Linked DNA regions of Anolis sagrei. The protein of the gene in region 1 interacts with the protein of each later gene in a biochemical or structural test. Links are inferred from orthologs where the notes say so. Each region holds a gene or a part of one and is shown in the gene's direction. Other genes may lie near its edges.

Region 1 (7,449 bases):
AACTGAGTGATTTACTTCTGTCTTCCCAAATTTGGTTCCTCCTGTTGTCATTACAGTTAACAGGTGCAGAAGGGAGGGAAAGTTCAAGGTCTCCCTCTGAAACATTCTCATGAACACTGGGACTTTCATTTCCCAAATCTACAGAAGTCCCTTCCTCACTAATTTCAGGAACATTGGCATTTTCCAAACCTACAGCAGATTCTTCCTCACTAATTTCAGGAGCATTGGCATCAAAAGGTACATTTCCATTAGCATCAGTAAATATATTTTCATTAGCAACAGGAGGAACAGAGAATCAGGTTCAAGTTCAAACTCAGGCTGAACCCCAACAGAGACCTCCTTGGGCCATCCAGTCCAACCCCATTCTGCCAAGAAGCAGTAATATTGCATTCAAATCACCCCTGACAGATGGCCATCCAGACTCCGTTTAAAAGCTTCCAAAGAGGGAGCCTCCACCACACTCCGGGGCAGAGAGTTCCACTGCTGAACGGCTCTCACAGTCAGGAAGTTCTTCCTCATATTCAGATGGAATCTCCTTTCTTGTAGTTTGAGGTGAAAAGCAACACATGCTGAGGTGCTGTCAGAAGTGACCCAGAGATTGAATCTGTCCAAAATGTGGTCATGACATGACATTCTGGCTTTTATTTTCGGGGTCTCCCTTGCTTGCAATCCGTTGCATTTGCCCTCCTCCCTGCAAAAAAAACCAAAACAAACCCGCAGCGTTTTCCCTCTTTAAATTGAACACAGTAAGTGCTTTCATAACGCTCTCCTGACCGACCGAGAGGGTCCTCGCTCTTTCGTTTGCGCAGCCTTACCCGATTAATCTTTCAAAATTGAGCCTTGGATCTGATAATGAGGTGGGACTCCATTCCTCCTGACTTCCTGTAACTCTAAACCGCTGGGTAAAAATATGAGCGGCCGTTCGTTCCTCTGTTCGTTTGCTCGGAGCTAAAGAAAGCTCAGCCTGCGTTCGGCTGGAGGAGTCTCTCCGAAGAAGAGCGGGCCTGGAGTTAATTCGCTGGAGTGAGTCGGCAAAGGATTGAGTGCAGACGAGAGGGCTTTCAAGGGTGCCTTCCAGGGAAGAAGCCCGCTCTCAAGGGTGCCTTCCGGGGAAGAAGCCCGCTCTCAAGGGTGCCTTCCGGGAAAGAAGCCCGCTCTCTTTGGGTGCCTTCCGGGGAAGAAACCCGCTCTTCTCTCAAGGGTGCCTTCCGGGAAAGAAGCCCGCTCTCAAAGGTGCCTTCCGGGGAAGAAGCCCGCTCTCAAGGGTGCCTTCCGGAGAAGAAGTCCGTTCTCAAAGGTGCCCTCCGGAGAAGAAGCCCGCTCTCAAGGGTGCCCTCCGGAGAAGAAGCCCGCTCTCAAGGGTGCCCTCCGGGAAAGAAGCCCGCTCTCAAAGGTGCCCTCCGGGAAAGAAGCCCGCTCTCAAGGGTGCCCTCCGGAGAAGAAGCCCGCTCTCAAGGGTGCCCTCCGGGAAAGAAGCCCGCTCTCAAAGGTGCCCTCCGGGAAAGAAGCCCGCTCTCGAGGGTGCCCTCCGGAGAAGAAGCCCGCTCTCAAGGGTGCCTTCCGGGAAAGAAGTCCGTTCTCAAGGGTGCCTTCCGGGAAAGAAGCCCGCTCTCAAAGGTGCCTTCCGGGGAAGAAGCCCGCTCTCAAAGGTGCCTTCCGGGGAAGAAGTCCGCTCTCAAGAGAGCCTTCCGGGAAAGAAGCCCGCTCTTCTCTCAAGGGAGCCTTCCGGGGAAGAAGCCCGCTTTCAAGGGTGCCCTCCGGAGAAGAAGCCCGCTCTCAAGGGTGCCCTCCGGAGAAGAAGCCCGCTCTCAAGGGTGCCCTCCGGGAAAGAAGCCCGCTCTCAAAGGTGCCCTCCGGGAAAGAAGCCCGCTCTCGAGGGTGCCCTCCGGAGAAGAAGCCCGCTCTCAAGGGTGCCTTCCGGGAAAGAAGTCCGTTCTCAAGGGTGCCTTCCGGGAAAGAAGCCCGCTCTCAAAGGTGCCTTCCGGGGAAGAAGCCCGCTCTCAAAGGTGCCTTCCGGGGAAGAAGTCCGCTCTCAAGAGAGCCTTCCGGGAAAGAAGCCCGCTCTTCTCTCAAGGGAGCCTTCCGGGGAAGAAGCCCGCTTTCAAGGGTGCCCTCCGGAGAAGAAGCCCGCTCTCAAGGGTGCCCTCCGGAGAAGAAGCCCGCTCTCAAGGGTGCCCTCCGGGAAAGAAGCCCGCTCTCAAAGGTGCCCTCCGGGAAAGAAGCCCGCTCTCGAGGGTGCCCTCCGGAGAAGAAGCCCGCTCTCAAGGGTGCCTTCCGGGAAAGAAGTCCGTTCTCAAGGGTGCCTTCCGGGAAAGAAGCCCGCTCTCAAAGGTGCCTTCCGGGGAAGAAGCCCGCTCTCAAAGGTGCCTTCCGGGGAAGAAGTCCGCTCTCAAGAGAGCCTTCCGGGAAAGAAGCCCGCTCTTCTCTCAAGGGAGCCTTCCGGGGAAGAAGCCCGCTTTCAAGGGTGCCCTCCGGAGAAGAAGCCCGCTCTCAAGGGTGCCCTCCGGAGAAGAAGCCCGCTCTCAAGGGTGCCCTCCGGGAAAGAAGCCCGCTCTCAAAGGTGCCCTCCGGGAAAGAAGCCCGCTCTCGAGGGTGCCCTCCGGAGAAGAAGCCCGCTCTCAAGGGTGCCTTCCGGGAAAGAAGTCCGTTCTCAAGGGTGCCTTCCGGGAAAGAAGCCCGCTCTCAAAGGTGCCTTCCGGGGAAGAAGCCCGCTCTCAAAGGTGCCTTCCGGGGAAGAAGTCCGCTCTCAAGAGAGCCTTCCGGGAAAGAAGCCCGCTCTTCTCTCAAGGGAGCCTTCCGGGGAAGAAGCCCGCTTTCAAGGGTGCCCTCCGGAGAAGAAGCCCGCTCTCAAGGGTGCCCTCCGGGAAAGAAGCCCGCTCTCAAAGGTGCCCTCCGGGAAAGAAGCCCGCTCTCAAGGGTGCCCTCCGGAGAAGAAGCCCGCTCTCAAGGGTGCCCTCCGGGAAAGAAGCCCGCTCTCAAAGGTGCCCTCCGGGAAAGAAGCCCGCTCTCAAGGGTGCCCTCCGGAGAAGAAGCCCGCTCTCAAGGGTGCCTTCCGGGAAAGAAGTCCGTTCTCAAGGGTGCCTTCCGGGAAAGAAGCCCGCTCTCAAAGGTGCCTTCCGGGGAAGAAGCCCGCTCTCAAAGGTGCCTTCCGGGGAAGAAGTCCGCTCTCAAGAGAGCCTTCCGGGAAAGAAGCCCGCTCTTCTCTCAAGGGAGCCTTCCGGGGAAGAAGCCCGCTTTCAAGGGTGCCCTCCGGGGAAGAAGCCCGCTCTCAAGGGAGCCTTCCGGGGAAGAAGCCCGCTCTCAAGGGTGCCTTCCAGGAAAGAAGCCCACTCTCAAGGGTGCCTTCCGGGAAAGAAGCCCGCTCTCAGGGGTGCCTTCCGGGGAAGAAGTCCGCTCTCAAGAGAGCCTTCCGGGAAAGCAGCCCGCTCTTCTCTCAAGGGTGCCTTCCGGGGAAGAAGCCCTCTCTCAAGGGTGCCCTCCGGGGAAGAAGCCCGCTCTCAAAGGTGCCTTCCGGGGAAGAAGTCCGCTCTCAAGAGAGCCTTCCGGGAAAGAAGCCCGCTCTTCTCTCAAGGGAGCCTTCCGGGGAAGAAGCCCGCTTTCAAGGGTGCCCTCCGGAGAAGAAGCCCGCTCTCAAGGGTGCCCTCCGGGAAAGAAGCCCGCTCTCAAAGGTGCCCTCCGGGAAAGAAGCCCGCTCTCAAGGGTGCCCTCCGGAGAAGAAGCCCGCTCTCAAGGGTGCCCTCCGGGAAAGAAGCCCGCTCTCAAAGGTGCCCTCCGGGAAAGAAGCCCGCTCTCAAGGGTGCCCTCCGGAGAAGAAGCCCGCTCTCAAGGGTGCCTTCCGGGAAAGAAGTCCGTTCTCAAGGGTGCCTTCCGGGAAAGAAGCCCGCTCTCAAAGGTGCCTTCCGGGGAAGAAGCCCGCTCTCAAAGGTGCCTTCCGGGGAAGAAGTCCGCTCTCAAGAGAGCCTTCCGGGAAAGAAGCCCGCTCTTCTCTCAAGGGAGCCTTCCGGGGAAGAAGCCCGCTTTCAAGGGTGCCCTCCGGGGAAGAAGCCCGCTCTCAAGGGAGCCTTCCGGGGAAGAAGCCCGCTCTCAAGACTGCCTTCCGGGGAAGAAGCCCGCTCTCAAGGGTGCCTTCCAGGAAAGAAGCCCACTCTCAAGGGTGCCTTCCGGGAAAGAAGCCCGCTCTCAGGGGTGCCTTCCGGGGAAGAAGTCCGCTCTCAAGAGAGCCTTCCGGGAAAGCAGCCCGCTCTTCTCTCAAGGGTGCCTTCCGGGGAAGAAGCCCTCTCTCAAGGGTGCCCTCCGGGGAAGAAGCCCGCTCTCAAAGGTGCCTTCCGGGGAAGAAGTCCGCTCTCAAGGGTGCCCTCCGCCGAAGAAGCCCACTCGGGGACCGTGGCCGGAGAAGGGCTGGGAGGTCCACCTTAACTTTGTCTGTTTCCTCAGAGTCTACCGGCGACCGTTTTCAACCTTCACTACTCACCTCTCCAAGGTTTGTGGAGATGCGGAGCCATGGCGAGGAGGCAGCTGAGACTCCACTTGGCCCCCCGAAGAAGTCTCGTTGACCCGTTCCCTGAGGCGCTCCGAGATCCTTTCGGCCAAGAGGCCAGCCGTGTGTTTGACGGGAAGCCAGACGCGGGCGGCGTTTCCGGGAAGGAGTGGAGTCGTACCCAAACCCTCCTGGGTTGCGCGGCCCCCGAGCCCCTTCCGTCCCAGAAGCCCAAGAGGAGCGCCTTGCTGAGGATCTCCTTGCAGAGCACCCAAGGTGGCAGAGAGGACTCCCCACCGGCGCCTTTTGGTGACCACTTCCCCAGGAGAGAAGGAGAGCGACCTGGGCGGCCCCTTCACCGGTCAGCAGCCGGCAGCGGTCTGATCGACGTCCCAGATGTCAATTGCGTCGAGAGAGGGGCTGCTGACAGCGCGGGGAGTGACTGCGGCTCGTGCGTGAGCACCACCAGCGATGGAGGGTCCTGCAGTGGCGGCAGCAGCAGCGTCATCAGCGAGAGTGGCAGCACCTGCGCCTTCTCCACCGGGGACGCAGCCACGTTTGCCGGCGGTCAGTCTGATCCTGGAGCGACCGCTTGGGCACCCAGAGTGGCCTTGGACAATCTCTCTGTGGGGCGGGTGTCCAAGTTGCCGTCAGCGGAAGGGCGCAGGCGTCCCTTGCAGCGGTGCTCCTCGCTGGTCATCTTCCCCCGGAGTCCGTGCAGTACCCCTCCGCTGTCCCCCTCCTCGCTGCCTCCGGAGGGAGAGGTCAAGGGGGCCTCCACGGGGTCGCTCCTCACCATCCTGAATGGCTTCCGGCTCTCCCCCAGCGCCGCCCCACCCAACGGAAGTCGGGACGTCCGACCGCTCTGCCCAAAGAGCGCTTTGTGGGGGAGGCGCTGGACCTCGCCCGAGGAAGACGCCCCAAACCAAGGGCGCTGCACCCCGCTCCACTTCTCCCCGGATCCGCCTGACCCCACTTCTCCCCGGACCTGCTCACATTTGCAGCTCCCAAACGAGGAAGATCACTCTCCTGCAATCCCTGCAAGGAGGATCCGGGGCCCCCACGGGCTCCACAGGAGCGTCTCCTTGGGGGGCCCCCCGGCACCCCGTTTGCCCGCTTTCCAGTCCCACCCTGGGGCAGGAGCCTCCCACCTGCAGATCCAGTTTGGTCCTGAAAATCAAGCGCCCTCCCACCTGGCACTGGGGACATCTCCAGAGGTGAGTTGCTGTCCCTTTCAGGTGGAACCAGGTGGACTTAGTCCAGAGCGGTGGTTCTCAACCTGTGGGTCCCCAGATGTTTGGGCCTTCAACTCCCAAAAAGCCTAACAGCTATTGTATTGTCGAAGGCTTTCATGGCTGGAATCACTAGGTTCTTGTGGGTTTTTCCGGGCTATATGGCCATGTTCTAGAGGCATTTCTCCTGACGTTTCGCCTGCATCTATGGCAAGCATCCTCAGAGGTTGTGAGGTCTGTTGGAATTAGGACAATGGGTTTATATATCTGTGGAATGACCAGGGTGGGACAAAGGACTCTTGTCTGTTGGAACTAGGTGTGAATGGGTTGTTGTAGGTTTTTTCGGGCTATAGGGCCATGTTCTAGAAGCATTTCTCCTGACGTTTCGCCTGCATCTATGGCAAGCATCCTCAGAGGTGGTGACGTCTGTTGGAATTAGGACAATGGGTTTATATATCTGTGGAATGACCAGGGTGGGACAAAGGACTCTTGTCTGTTGGAACTAGGTGTGAATGGGTTGTTGTAGGTTTTTTCGGGCTGTGTGGCCATGTTCTAGAGGCATTCTCTCCTGACGTTTCGCCTGCACATATGGCAAGCATCCTCAGAGGTGGTGAAGTCTGTTGGAATTAAGACAATGGGTTTATATATCTGTGGAATGACCAGGGTGGGACAAAGGACTCTTGTCTGTTGGAACTAGGTGTGAATGGGTTGTTGTAGGTTTTTTCGGGCTATAGGGCCATGTTCTAGAAGCATTTCTCCTGACGTTTCGCCTGCATCTATGGCAAGCATCCTCAGAGGTGGTGAGGTCTGTTGGAATTAGGACAATGGGTTTATATATCTGTGGAATGACCAGGGTGGGACAAAGGACTCTTGTCTGTTGGAACTAGGTGTGAATGGGTTGTTGTAGGTTTTTTCGGGCTCTGTGGCCATGTTCTAGAGGCATTCTCTCCTGACGTTTCGCCTGCATCTATGGCAAGCATCCTCAGAGGTGGTGAGGTCTGTTGGAATTAGGACAATGGGTTTATATATCTGTGGAATGACCAGGGTGGGACAAAGGACTCTTGTCTGTTGGAACTAGGTGTGAATGGGTTGTTGTAGGTTTTTTCGGGCTCTGTGGCCATGTTCTAGAGGCATTCTCTCCTGACGTTTCGCCTGCACATATGGCAAGCATCCTCAGAGGTGGTGAAGTCTGTTGGAATTAAGACAATGGGTTTATATATCTGTGGAATGACCAGGGTGGGACAAAGGACTCTTGTCTGTTGGAACTAGGTGTGAATGGGTTGTTGTAGGTTTTTTCGGGCTATAGGGCCATGTTCTAGAAGCATTTCTCCTGACGTTTCGCCTGCATCTATGGCAAGCATCCTCAGAGGTGGTGAGGTCTGTTGGAATTAGGACAATGGGTTTATATATCTGTGGAATGACCAGGGTGGGACAAAGGACTCTTGTCTGTTGGAACTAGGTGTGAATGGGTTGTTGTAGGTTTTTTCGGGCTCTGTGGCCATGTTCTAGAGGCATTCTCTCCTGACGTTTCGCCTGCATCTATGGCAAGCATCCTCAGAGGTAGTGAGGTCTGTTGGAATTAGGACAATGGGTTTATATATCTGTGGAATGACCAGGGTGGGACAAAGGACTCTTGTCTGTTGGAACTAGGTGTGAATGGGTTGTTGTAGGTTTTTTCGGGCTATAGGGCCATGTTCTAGAAGCATTTCTCCTGACGTTTCGCCTGCATCTATGGCAAGC
Region 2 (7,646 bases), on another chromosome or scaffold:
CTTGAAAAGTAATATATACTGAAGTCAATCTAATACATTCTCGGGCATTCAATAAATAATTTCAACCTACTGTCTTTAAGTCTTAGTCTTTGCTTTAAGGAAACTGTTACTTTGAGATATGGATTTGGCAGTAGTTTGCTTTCCAAAATAACGACGTATGTTTTATCCGTTCTTATAGATCATAACAGGTGGCCACCTGCTCCAGATGGAGAGAACTGGAAATCACTGAAAAGGATGTTTTCAGGAAAATCTCAATCAAAACTATAAATCAATAACTTGGGGTTAGTCCCTTGCCATTCTTGTCAACAATGAATTGCCTTTCTGCAATAGATTTTAACTTTTCATAATGAACTCTGCCTTATAGAGATACAAACCCTGTACATTTGTTTTTATAACAGATGTACTATAGTTTTTATAATAAATGCCTTGTGCAAATTCTGTCTAAGGACAGTTGTCCAAAAATCACCATTTATTAACATGTGCTGTTACTGTCTTGGATCTCGTTAACAAAAATATGCTCCTCATGACTTTTCTGTTTGCAATTTAAACTCTTCCTGCTTTAATGACAGTTCTTTAGAATATGTTCTAATAACAAGGAATTCAGGAGAACAAGGCCAAAGGTCTATAGTCTGTTATCTTGTGCTCTCTGACTGCTTTGCACTGATTACTCCAATGCATGCCTGAACTCTTAAAGTTGAAAGATGTTAATGTGCAATAAACTGATTACTTAAATCTGTGTTCAAATTTGTTTTAAATGAGAAGGTCTCTCAGGAAGCCTGTAGACATTGTCTGTGCCATACTGAGCCTTGTTGGCTTGGGGTGATCTTAGTTGTAGCCCACAATTTCTGCAGATTGCTAAATCAATGAACTCTTATTTTTCAATTTGCGATAAGGAGAAATGCCTCTATCTTTATCCATGAAGGCAATTGTGACTATGTTTCCTTGTGTCATATAATTTTATGAGATGAGAGTTTATTTCTCAGTGTTGACCAAGAAAGGTAATGTTCAGTTTAATAAGTTTACAAGTTGCATTGGTTTCGTACCAATGATTTAGGGGAAGAAAACTTTCCTGAAATTTGCAAAAAAGGAGGAAATATAGCAATTGGATATGATGAGTGGGGCTAAATGCAAGGCACTTTTAAAGGAAAAATGCTTCAGATTGAAAGGCAGTAGGAAGAAGACTCTGGGGCGCAGCTATGGTGTATAATTGATCCAGTTTGACACTACTTACACTCCTATAGCTCAATGCTATGGAATCATTGAAGGTTTAGCTTTACAAGGTCTTTGACTTCTGTTAAAGGATACTGGTGCCCTACCAAACTACAAGTTCCAGGATTTCATAGCACTGAGCTATGACAATTAAAGTGGCTTCAAACTGTATTAATCCTGCAATATAGATGCATACCTAGATGTTACAAGTGTACTATTAAGCTTCTGACAAAGTCCAACTGGTCAGGAGTATCTTTAAAGGTATTGCCAAAAGGTTATGTTACCAGTAAGTCTTTCCAAAATTTCCTGCCATGTAATGCAATGGTCCAAAGTCTGTAATACATTGAAAACATTTTAAACAGACCTGTTTAAATTTCACAACAAATAGAAGTTGTAAAATTCGATAGAGGTTGAGCATCCCTTGTTTGGAAATCCAAAGTATTCCAAAATTATCAACATATGTAGCTGAGAGTGACTACTTTGCTTTCTGATGTAGAAAACATTGCTTCATGCACATTATTTAAAAAAAAATACTGTACACAAAATTACCTTCAGGCTATGTGCATAAGGTATATATGAAACACCAATTTCCTGTTTAGACATGTTCCATCTCCAAGATTTCTCATTATGTACATTTATGTAAAGGTAGGTATCTAAAAAATCTGGGGGGGGGGGGGGGAATCCAACACAGTTCTGGTCCCAAGTATTTTTGATAAGAGCAATTCAACCTATATCTGTTTTGCAGCAATGTATTGTTATTTATTCGTTCAGTCACTTCTGATTCTTCGTGACCTCATGGACCAGCCCATGCCAGAGCTCCCTGTCGGCCGTCACCTCCCCCAGCTCCTTCAGAGTCAAGCCAGTCACTTCAATGATACCATCCATCCATCTTGCTCTTGGTCGGCCCCTCTTCCCTTTTCCTTCCATTTTCCCCAGTATCATTGTCTTCCCCAAGCTTTCCTGCCTTCTCATTATGTGGCCAAAGTACTTCATCTTTGCCTCTACTATCCTTCCCTCCAGTGAGCAGTTGGGCTAAATATGGACTGGCTTGATCTTCTCGTGGTCCAAGGCACTCTCATAATTTTCCTCCAACACCACAATTCAAAAGCATCTATCTTCCTTTGCTCAGTCTTCCTTATGGTCCAGCTCTCACATCCGTAGGTGACTGTGGGGAATACCATTGCTTTAACTATGCAGATCTTCGTTGCCAGTGTAATGTCTCTACGCTTCACTATTTTATCGAGATTGGACATTGCTCTCCTCCCAAGAAGTAAACTTCTTCTGATTTCCTGGCTGCAGGCTGCGTCTGCAGTAATCTTTGCACCTAGAAATACAAAGTTTGTCACAGTCTCCACGTTTTCTCCCTCTATTTCCCAGTTATCAGTCAGTCCGGTTGCCATAATCTTGGTTTTTTTTAAATATTTAACTGCAACCCAGCTTATGCACTTTCTTCTTTCACCTTGATTAGAAGGCTCCTCAGCTCCTCCTCGCTTTCGGCCATCAAAGTGGTATCATCTGCATATCTAAACAATGTATTATACTGCAAAAGTGGTTACTTTAAGCTGTCAGTGGAATCCTTATTAATAAAAACTAAATAACCAAACTGACTACCATCAAGTATATTTAATACATACTTTTAGGTTACTACTCTGGGCACATCTACACTGTAGAATTATTGTATTCCAGTTTGGCACCACTTGCCTCACTGCTATGGAATCATGGGATTTGTAGTTTGTTGGCAGAAAAAACATTGTAAAACTATAGCTGTCAGGATTCTGTAACATCGAGCCATGGCAATTAAAGTGGTGCCAAACTAAATTCATTCCACAGTGAAGATAAATCCTGAATCTACTTCCCTTTCCAATGCCTGACATGAAAAGTAAACAGTGACGATGCTGCGCATGCGCCCACATTCATCCGTGTAGAAAGCGGAGAGGCTACAGAAGCTGCGCATGCGCCTGGCTCGTCCGTGGCTACAAGTGGAGCGGCTATTTCCATGAGTAGCGTCGCTCACACAACGCGGAAGAACGCCACTGGCAGATAGAGCTAGGAAACTATGAGAAAGATGCATGGCTGAAAGTCGCGATATTCCAGGTTCGCGCACCATTTAAAAATAATACCAAGGAAAGGAAGTAAGAGGCGCCAATAGAAATAGGCCAAGGGCTGCAGAGACAGTTGAGCTTCTGATCTTTAATACAAGCAGAGCGAGTAAGAAAAGAGGAAGAAAGAGGTAATACAAGATAAAAGTATACAAATAACATTATTAAACAAATTATCCAGATAGTCCACAACACACACATATAATGCAACCCAATCAATATCTGAATCTACATGAACAGGAATCTACAGGTACGAGAACATAAACGAGATCCTGAGTTTTGTAGTTTTGTGGCCCTGGGCCTCCCTTAATCTACAAGCCCCAGAATTCTAAAGTCACAGCATTTAAAGTGGATTGAAGTGGGAAAATGCTCAAGTGTGATGAGGCATCTGCACTGTCGAATTAATCCGCTTCGACACCACTTTATCTGCCATGGCTCAATGTATTTTGCTCAGGCTCCAGCACTCTTGGGCAGGGAAGGTTGAAGACTCGTAAAACTATGATTCCACAGTATTCAGCCGTGGCAGTGAAAAGGGTTTTCTTCCCTGACATTAAGTCTAGCCATGTCCGACTCTGAGGGTTGAAACTCATCACTATTTCTAAGCCGAAGAGCTGGTGTTGTCCGTAGACACCTCCAAGTTCATGCGGCCGGCATGACTGCATGGAGGGCCGTCACCTTCCCGCAGAAGTGGTATCTATTGATCTACTCACATTTCGAACTGCTTGATTAGCAGAAGCTGGAGCTAACAGCGGGAGCTTACCCCGCTCCTCGGATTCGAACCTGCGACTTTTCGGTTAGCACGTTCAGCAGCTCCGCGGTTTCATAGAATCATAAAGTTGGAAGAGCTCTCCAGGGCCATCCGGTCCAACCCCCTGCCTAGAAGCAGGAAAATTGTATTCAAAGCACTCCCGACAGATGGCCATCCAGCTTTTAACCCACTGCGCTACCGGGGGCTCCATTCGAGGGTGGAAGCACCCTAAAATTCCCAAACGTCTGGAAAACATGAGGACATCTCACATCGCCATATGTGCGAAAACCATTTTAAAAAAACCTCGGAACTACAAAGGATGTAATCCTATCACACAGTTACACTCAGAGGATTCCTGGGCTTTGTAGTTTTGCTAGCCAGGGATTCCAATACTTAGCTAGCGTCGGGACGCTTTTAGAAAACTACCCATCCCATAATTCCAAGGGAAATCCCCGCGGCGATGACACTTTTTCTCCTTGCGAAGTAAATACGTAACGACGTCGACGTGCTCTACGTCAGGGGTTCTGCGTAAGGGGAAGGAGGCGGAGTTAGAGAGAGAGCGCTTGAGGAGGAAAAATAGAACAGGGGGAGGGAAAAAGCTGGGGCCGGAGAGGTGACGGCGGCCCGCAGGGTTCAAGAAGGAAAGAGGGACGGAGTGGGGCCTTCCGCGAACTCTTCGTAGTGCCCCCCTCCCCGTGGAAAGGCGCGAGGCTCAGGCGGTGAACGGCAACGACAAGGCCGCCATTCTCTTCCCCCCCTTCCTCGTCCACCCTTCTCCCTTCTCGCCTCTCTTTCCGTGTTGTTCTCTGCTTATTGGGACGGGGCTGCCAGCTCGCCTTCCTTCTCTCATTCCTCCCTCCCTCCCCTTTGCCTGTTTCCTGGGACAAGCCGGGGACCTGGACCCTTCCAGTGTGGAGGCCCTGGAGGCCTTGGGGGAGTTTGCCCGCCTCCTCCTCCTCCTCACAGGTACGAAGCGTGCGTGTGTTTTGATTTCTGGGATCCTTGTGTGTGTATATATTTGGGAGGGTGTTGCCTCTAAGGCAAATCTATTTACTTATGGTATTTTGGTCTGACATTTTTAAAATGTGTGTGTGTGTGTGTGTGTCCATACAACATGCATGTATGTATGTGCATTGCACACATATCTGTGCACATACAGGTTGTCCTGGCTATTTCCAGTCACATTTCAAAGATGGAAACTGGGACATCTGTGGCCAAGCACCATCAGAAAATGGTCAAGATGCCAACACACCAAGCCAGGAGAAGCAGTTTGATTTTTCCTGTGTCTCCAGAGAAGGGCATGATCCCCCGTTCTCTCCTCTCCTTCCTGCTGGTTTTACCTGAGTGCAAATACTTTTGCACTTGGATCTCAAGTGTGTATATCAGGGGTCCACAAACATTTTAAACAGAGGGCCAGATCACAGTCCCTCAAACTGTTGGAGGGCCGGATTATAATTTGAAAAAAATGAATGAATTCCTATGCACACTGCATATATCTTATTAGTAGTGCAAAAACACTTAAAATACATTAATTAAAATGAAGAACAATTTTAACAAATATAAAATTATTCATATTTCAATGGGAAGTGTGGGCCTGCTTTTGGCTGATGAGATAGGGTTGTTGTTGTTGTTGTTGTTGTTGTTGTGTGCTTTCAAGTTGTTTAAGACTTAGGTTGACCCTGAGCGAGGGCCAGGTAAATGAGCTTGGAGGGCTGTATCTGGCCCCCGGGCCTTACTTTGAGGACCCCTGGTGTATATTGTACATTAATAGCAGATGAGTTTAGAAAGTAACTGGAGATATTCATGGACAAGCAGTGACTGTGGCTGCTAGCTATGTTTGTTTCCTCCTTTAACAGAGCAGAATAATAATAATAATAATAATAATAAACTTTATTTATATCCTGCCACCATCTCCTCTAGGGGACTTGGGATGGCTTACAAAGGGAAAGGGTAGCTCAATATACAAAATATTTACAACATATTCTCGATGTGTTTTGGGGGGTACGGGGAGGGATAACAAAAGTAATAATACCCAGAATGATATGTTATATATGTTAAGGATGCATGTATATGTATGGAGATTTTAGGCCCCTTCCACACAGCTGTATAAAATCACACCCAACTGGATTATATGGCAGTGTGGATTCAGATAACCCAGCTCAAAGCACATATCTACCTTGATATTCTGGGTTGTATGGCTGTGTGGAAGGGCTCTGAGCATCTCTCAGGAGTGCTTTAGTTGTGTGTGGCTGAGTAACGGGATGCTGGACTCTATGGCCCTTGCAGTCCCTTCCCACCCATTGCTTCTGTGCATTGCCTTTGAGGAGTTCACACACATAAATACACATGAATACACATGTATACACAAACATATGCATACATCCTTGACAGCATATAATTCTGGGCATTATTACTTTTGGTATTCCTCCTTCAAATGTGTGTGTGTATAAAGGGTGTCCCAAAAGTCTTTAGACGTATGAAAAATTAACAGACATATTATATTTTATCTATATTACACATGCATTTAAATTTATTCTTGCAAATATATAGTACGCAGACAATGTTTTTACTTTTTATATTTATTTTTTTAATTTTTTTAATTAAGTATTATTAGACAATTTATAAAAAAATATTTCCCCTATATGACTTACATCGCTATATATAGGCAATCCCCAAGTTATGAGCAAGAGCGGTTTTGTAGGTTTGTTCTTAAGTTGAATTTGTATGTAAGTTGGAACAGGCACATTTTAAAAATGTAGCTTACAGACATGCATGCATGCTTTGGATAGCACGGGGAAGGGTTACCACTCCTGTGGTGTTTGTTTTGTTATCTGTGCCCCTGCTCAGAAGATTGCATCTAACTTTCAGCCCCTATGATAATTGGACTTTGAAAAAAATTCTTGTTGTGGAAACAAGGATTGGTGAGAAAGCTTCAGTTGAGACACCACAATAATTCTCCAGGAATGAATTTTATTTCTGAGGGATAGATTTCTCTCATTTCCTGTTGTCTCATCCCTGTTCTTAACCATGAATCGTTTGTAAATAAAATGTTTGTAACTTGGGGACTGCCTGTAAATTGATTTAAACTAACTTCTGCAACCTGCACCATTGAAAAACAACTGAAATGATTAAACTAAAACATTGAAATGTACTATCCATCTCCCATTTCAAAGACACACAATGAATATATTATGAACCAGCTCATCTTATAATTTTAGACCGTTTCTTCATTCTATCTTACTATGACATGTAAAGAACATTTTGTAAAATTTTGTAATGAGTATTTTGTAAATAAAAATGTATTGAGCTACAATTTCCCATATGCCCTATGTATGTTGACCTTTGTGTGTGTACGTATATGTATATATGTATCCTTAACAACATATAATTCTGGATGTTATTACTTTGGGTATGCCCCCCCCCCAAAAAAAAATAAGTATGCACTCTTGACAGGATTAAGTATGGCAAAATGGCAAGAAGAACTTCGTGAAGTTTGTAACTCTTGTGCTTTGATAAGCGGGCAGTACATGGTTGCAAAGGGATGACACCTTGCGCCTGCAATTTAAGATGGAATTTGTAACCCTGATTGT
Region 3 (7,094 bases), on another chromosome or scaffold:
CATTGCGTCCTAGTCTCCAGGGAAGCAGAAAACAAGCTTGCTCCCTCCTCCTCCCTGTGGCTTCCTCTCACATATTTATACATAGCTATCATCATATCTCCTCTCAGCCTTCTCTTCTTCAGGCTAAACATGCCCAGCTCCTTAAGCCGCTCCTCATAGGGCTTGTTCTCCAGACCCCTGATCATTTTAGTCGCCCTCCTCTGGACACATTCCAGCTTGTCAATATCTCTCTTGAATTGTGGTGCCCAGAATTGGACACAGTATTCCAGGTGTGGTCTAACCAAGGCGGAATAGAGCATGGGGAGCATGACTTCCCTAGATCTAGACACTATGCTCCTCTTGATGAGTACAGCTGAACCTGTACTGTAGACTTAATGCAGTTTGACGCCACTTAATGCAGTTTGACGCCACTTGGACTTCCGTGGCTCAATGCAATGGCATCCTGGGAGTTGTAGTTTGGCATTATTTGGCAAAAAAAAAAAAACCCTCGACAAACTGCAACTCCTAGGATCCCATTGTAGCCCTTGTAGTTCAAGTGGGGTCAAACTGCATTAATTCTACAATGCAGACGTCCCTCTGCTTCTCTAAAATCTATCTCCTGTGTGAACCTTATGTGCCTGTGATGTAACAACAACTCCCATTGGCCAAAATGGGAGCAGAACGATGGGTGTTGCAGTCCATTTGCCCTTAGAGAGTGGCAAGATTCCTCCCAAGGAGGGCCTTATTTGGGGGGGGGGGGGGGAATACCACGCTTTGCAGCTTTGGTCGTCTTTCAAATTAATTTTTATTCCATTTTCACAACAAAGCAGAAATATAAAGGAAACAACAAACACGGAACTAAGAAGCAAAGCAAAGGATGCAGTATGAAAAAAAAATCACTCCATAATATTCCAACAAACACTTAACAACTAGCTTCTATCCCTCCCCCTTTGTAACATAAAATAGTAAACAAAATTAACTTACATTGGTCCTCCCTAAGCAAAGGCCACCAACTTATTACATATACTTCTTGTTCTACGAAATTGCATTTCGGCTTCTGCTAAATATAAACCAACCTATTGCAACATTATTATGATTTAGCATGAATTTAACATTCATGTCAACCCCATTTATCCATTTTGTCTTCTAAATTCATATTTAACTCATCACCTTCGTAGTATCCTTATTCCCTCTGAATTTAAATTAATCTTACTGTATTTCAACAATTTATTTCTAAATACTTCCTTGTTTTTCAAACGTCTTCTTTCACCAATCCATTGTACATTCACCAATATAATAATAATAATAATAATAATAATAATAATATAATATATAATAAAACTTTATTTTTGGACTGCCCTCTCTCCCTGAGTACAAACATATCAAAATAATACACAATGAAGCAACAGTAATAAAATAATAAAACATATATATCATATGTATAACTTACATAGGTTGTTATATATATATATATATATATACACACACACACACACACACATATATATATACACACTTACTAGCCGTCCCCTGCCAGGTGTTGCTGTGGCCCACATGGGGTTTCTGTGTGGGAGGTTTGGCCCAATTCTATATTATATATTGGTGGATGTATATATACACACACTATTCTATATTATAGGTGGATGCACCTATATATATATATATATACACACACACACACACAATTCTGTATTGGTGGATGTATATATAAACACTATTATAGGTGGATGCACCTAGATATATACACACACACACACACTCTATATATTATATTTTGGTGGATGTATATATCACACTATTCTTCATTATAGGTGGATGCACCAATATATATACACACACACAATTCTATATTGGTGAATGTATATATATACACACTATTCTATATTATAGGTGGATGCACCTATATATATACACACACACAATTCTATATTATATATTGGTGGATGTATATATACACTATTCTATATTATAGGTGGATGCACACATATATATACACACACCCACAATTCTATATTACATATTGGTGAATGCATATATACACACTATTCTATATTATAGGTGGATGCACATATATATATATACACACACACACAATTCTATATTATATTTTGGTGGATGTATATATACACTATTCTTTATTATAGGTGGGTGCACCTATACACACACACACACACACAAAATCTATATTATATATTGGTGGATGTATATATACAACACTACTCTATATTATAGGTGGATGCACCTATATATATATATACACACACACACATACACAATTCTATATTATATATTGGTGGATGTATATATATACACTAGTAATCTATATTATAGGTGGATGGACCTATACACACACACACACACACTATTCTAGATTATATATTGGTGGATGTATATATACCCTATTCTATATTATAGGTGGATGCACCTATATATACACAACAACACAATTCTGTATTACATATTGGTGAATGCATATATACACACTATTCTATATTATAGGTGGATGCACCTATATATATACACACAATATATACACACCCAATTCTATATTATATATTTGTGGGTGTATATATACACACTATTCAATATTATAGGTGGGTGCACCTATACACACACACACACAAAATCTATATTATATATTGGTGGATGTATATATACAACACTATTCTATATTATAGGTGGATGCATATATACACACACACACAATTCTATATTATATATTGATGGATGTATATATATATATACACTATTCTATATTATAGGTGGATGCACCTATATATACACACACACACACTATTCTATATTATATATTGGAGGATGTATATATATACACACTATTCTATATTATAGGTGGATGCACCTATATATATATACATACACACTATTCTATATTATATATTGGAGGATGTATATATATACACACACACTGTATATATATACACACACACTATAGTGTATATATACACTATTCTATACTATAGGTGGATGCACTTATACATATATACACACACACACACAATTCTATATTGTATATTCGTAGATGTATATATACACTAACACACACACAATTCTATATATATTGGTGGATGTATATATACAAACTATTCTATATTATAGGTGGATGCACCTATATATATACACACACACACACAGAATTATATATATATATATATATATATATATATATATATATATATATATATATATATATATATATAAATATTGGTAGATGTATATATACATTATTCTATATTATAGGTGGATGTGTATATATATACACACACACACAATTCTATATTATTATATATTATAGGTTAATGTAATATTTATATATATACACACACACACACACACACATATATATATATATAATATCTATATCAACCAATAATCCTCAATTCCTTTGATCCCAGTCCAGTCTCAATAGTGACAATGATGGGAGTTCAAGGCTAGAAGAAGCTTTTCTTTCTGCGCCTGCGCGAAGCAATGAGGGAAACCCCACCCCTATTCCTTGGCCACGCCCCTTCACGTCACCAGCCCCTCCCTCCCGCCGGGACTACTTCGCGGGGGTGTGAGTGCACGTGACAATTCCTCTCCGCTGACGTCAGCCACATGACAGGACGCTTTACCTCACCTCGCCTCGGACCCGGATCCTTCCGCGTTTCAGTTCCTCCTTTGCTTTTGCTTTTTTTTAAATCCGATACCGGTATAAAGATGTCGGTTTAAAATCAGATAACGGTATAAAGATGTCTGTCCCTTTAAAATCCGGAGCGGCGGAAGGAGAAGCGGAGAAAAGCTTTCGGGACTACTTTGTTTTGGTGCGTGACGTCACTCTCGGCGGAAGGCCACTAGGGGAGGAGTTCGACGGTCCAGTCATAACCAGCTGCGCGAAGTGCTGAATTCTCAAACGCAACTTACGCTACTGACGAAGGGGCGCCCTGAGGGAGCGCTACGCCGTTTCCGTAGCGGAGAAAAACGAGTCCCCTCGCTCTGGGCGTATCCCTCCGCGGCTCGGCGGGCGAAGGCGGGGAGGAGGCCGGACTGCGCGTGCGCGGTGGCGTCTGTTGTGGAGAGCGGGCCGCGTCTCCTCCTCCTTCTCCTGTGTCCCCCTCCGCCGGCCTCGCCCGTCAGCCTCGTCGCCTCAGCCTCCGCCGCCGCCATGAAGTTCGTCTACAAGGAGGAGCACCCCTTCGAGAAGCGCCGCTCTGAGGGGGAGAAGATCCGCAAGAAGTACCCGGACCGAGTCCCGGTGAGGAGAGACAATCATAGCAGGGATTGGAGGGGAAAAATAGGCCCTTCCTTCCCTTCCCTTCCCTTCCTTGTTGGGCGCCTCAGGCCTAGGCCTCAGCCCAGCCTCCCTGTATTACTACCACTATTATCATATATAGAACAATAATAACCATGTAGAGTAGGCATGGGCGAGCTTGGGCCCTCCAGGTGTTTTGGACTACAACTCCCACAATTCCTAGCAGCCTCAGGCCCCTTCTTTTTCCCCTTCAGCCGCTAAAGCGGCTGAAGGGGAAAAAGAAGGGGCCTGAGGCTGCTAGGAATTGTGGGAGTTGTAGTCCAAAACACCTGGAGGGCCCAAGTCCGCCCATGCCTGATTATAGAGTATAGAAATGGCATGATAATAGTAATAATAATAATAATAATAATAATAATACTGTTATTGATGTCTATGTTTACTTCTATTTCAATCCTTACATATTGTGGATTTTAATGCTCTGAGCCACTTTGCAGAATATGATAATGATACGAATACTGTTGTGTGTATATATAATAAAATATAAGAATATAATAATGATAATGCTGATATATATATTTTGGATTTTAATGCTGAGATGACAGGGATAAAAACAATATAATAATAATGATAATGCTGATATATGTATATATTGTGGATTTTAATGCTGAGTCGATAGGGATAAAAACAATATAGTAATAATGATAATGCTGATATATGTATTGTGGATTTTAATGCCGGGTTGATAGGAATAAAACAATATAATAATGATAATGCTGATATATATGTATTAGATTTTAATGCTCTGAGCCACTTTGCAGAATATGATAATGATACGAATACTGGTGTGTATATATAATAAAATATAAGAATATAATAATGATAATGCTGATATATATATTTTGGATTTTAATGCTGAGATGATAGGGATAAAAACAATATAATAACAATAATGATAATGCTGATATATATATATTGTGGATTTTAATGCTCTGAGCCACTTTGCAGAATATGATAATGATACGAATACTGGTGTGTATATATAATAAAATATAAGAATATAATAATGATAATGCTGATATATATATATATATATATATATATATATATATTGGATTTTAATGCTGAGATGATAGGGATAAAAACAATATAATAATAATGATAATGCTGATATATGTATATATTGTGGATTTTAATGCTGAGTTGATAGGGATAAAAACAATATAATAATAATGGTGATATATATATATTGTGGGTCTATAGGAATAAAAACCATATTATAATGATAATGATAATGGTGATATATATATATTGTGGGTCAATAGGGATATCTACCCTATCATAATAATGATGATAATGCTGATATGTTTTTATTGCAGATTTTAATGCTGAGCCGATAGGGATGAAAGTGGATAATAATAATAATAATAATAATAATAATAATAATAATAATGTTGATATGTTTATATTGCGGATTTTAATGCTGAGTCGACAGGGATAAAAACAGAATATAATAACGATAATACTGATATATAATAATAATGATAATGCTGATATGTTTTTATTGCAGATTTTAATGCTGAGTCGATAGGGATGAAAGCGGATAATGATAAGAATAATAATGTTGATATGTTTATATTGTGGATTTTAATGCTGAGTCGATAGGGATAAAAACAGAATATAATAATAATGGGTTGTTGTAGGTTTTTTCGGGCTATATGGCCATGTTCTAGAGGCATTTTCTCCTGACGTTTCGCCTGCATCTATGGCAGCCATCCCCAGAGGTAGTGAGGTCTGTTGGAACTAGGAAAATTGTTTATATATCCGTGGAATGACCAGGGTGGGACAAAGGACTCTTGTCTGTTTTAATACCAGTATTAAAAAAAACTCTAAAATTACAACAGCAAAACAACAGAGAGGAAACAATCAGGCACATCTAATCACCTCTCAACAAAAGATTGCCCCAGGCACCAACAAGCCACACCAAACAACTGCCAGGCCATCAAATGCTAATCAAGGTGGTCAGTTGAAACATTCACACCTAGCTCCAACAGACAAGATAATGCTGATATGTTTATACAGTATTGCAGATTTTAACACTGAGTCAATAGGGATAAAAGCAGAATATGATATGATAATGCTGGTATGTATATATTGTGGATTTTAATGCTCAGTCGATAGGGATAAAAACAATATAGTAATAATGCTGATATGTTTATATTGTGGATTTTAATGCTGAGTCAACAGGTATAAAATCAGAATATAATAATAGTGATAATAATGCTGATATATAGGTTTACTTCCATTTTAATCTATATAAATAAAAACATAATGTCCACTTATGGGATTAACATAACTCAACAACCACTGGATAAATTGACACCAAATTTGGACACAAGACACCTATCATGCCAACAAGTGACTCATAAAAACACTGAAAAACACAGCACAAAAGACTTTAAAAGCCAAAAACCAAAAAATACAGTACAATGCATGCGTAAAACCACATATATACACAAACACACATATACGTATATACACACACAAAGACGTGTACACAGACTGGGCCACAGCAACATTGTCAGGGGATGGCTACTATGTATATATTGCAGATTTTAACAATGAGTCAATAGGGATAAAAGCAGAATATAATAATAGTAATAATGATAATAATGCTGATGTATATGTTTACTTCCATTTTAAAATGTATATATTGTGGATTTTATTGCTGAGCTGATAGGGATAAAGCAGAATATAATAATAATGATAATTTAAAAATGCTGATATGTATAGCTTGTGTATTGTAATGCTAGATCGATAGTGATAAAAGCAGAAATAATAATGACAATAATAATGCTGATATATATGGCGG

Evidence for each region.
Region 2: the proteins of NEDD4 (region 1) and MAP3K2 form a complex in vitro, tested with the Homo sapiens proteins (2 studies listed by BioGRID and IntAct, with this or other methods). The link is inferred for Anolis sagrei from reciprocal best matches to the Homo sapiens genes NEDD4 and MAP3K2.
Region 3: the proteins of NEDD4 (region 1) and GABARAP form a complex in vitro, tested with the Homo sapiens proteins (2 studies listed by BioGRID and IntAct). The link is inferred for Anolis sagrei from reciprocal best matches to the Homo sapiens genes NEDD4 and GABARAP.

What each region holds. Positions count from the first base shown.
Region 1 is NC_090029.1:1,440,621-1,448,069, forward strand, and holds the start of NEDD4 (E3 ubiquitin-protein ligase NEDD4), read left to right. Parts: upstream 1-4,431; 5' UTR 4,432-4,500; coding exon 4,501-5,694; intron 5,695-7,449. UniProt on the Homo sapiens protein: E3 ubiquitin-protein ligase which accepts ubiquitin from an E2 ubiquitin-conjugating enzyme in the form of a thioester and then directly transfers the ubiquitin to targeted substrates. Specifically ubiquitinates 'Lys-63' in target proteins.
Region 2 is NC_090021.1:226,541,004-226,548,649, reverse strand, and holds the start of MAP3K2 (mitogen-activated protein kinase kinase kinase 2), read left to right. Parts: upstream 1-4,583; 5' UTR 4,584-5,022; intron 5,023-7,646. Other genes in the region: PECR (peroxisomal trans-2-enoyl-CoA reductase), read left to right, coding at 179-267. UniProt on the Homo sapiens protein: Component of a protein kinase signal transduction cascade. Regulates the JNK and ERK5 pathways by phosphorylating and activating MAP2K5 and MAP2K7. Plays a role in caveolae kiss-and-run dynamics.
Region 3 is NC_090026.1:4,431,482-4,438,575, reverse strand, and holds the start of GABARAP (gamma-aminobutyric acid receptor-associated protein), read left to right. Parts: upstream 1-4,031; 5' UTR 4,032-4,138; coding exon 4,139-4,228; intron 4,229-7,094. UniProt on the Homo sapiens protein: Ubiquitin-like modifier that plays a role in intracellular transport of GABA(A) receptors and its interaction with the cytoskeleton.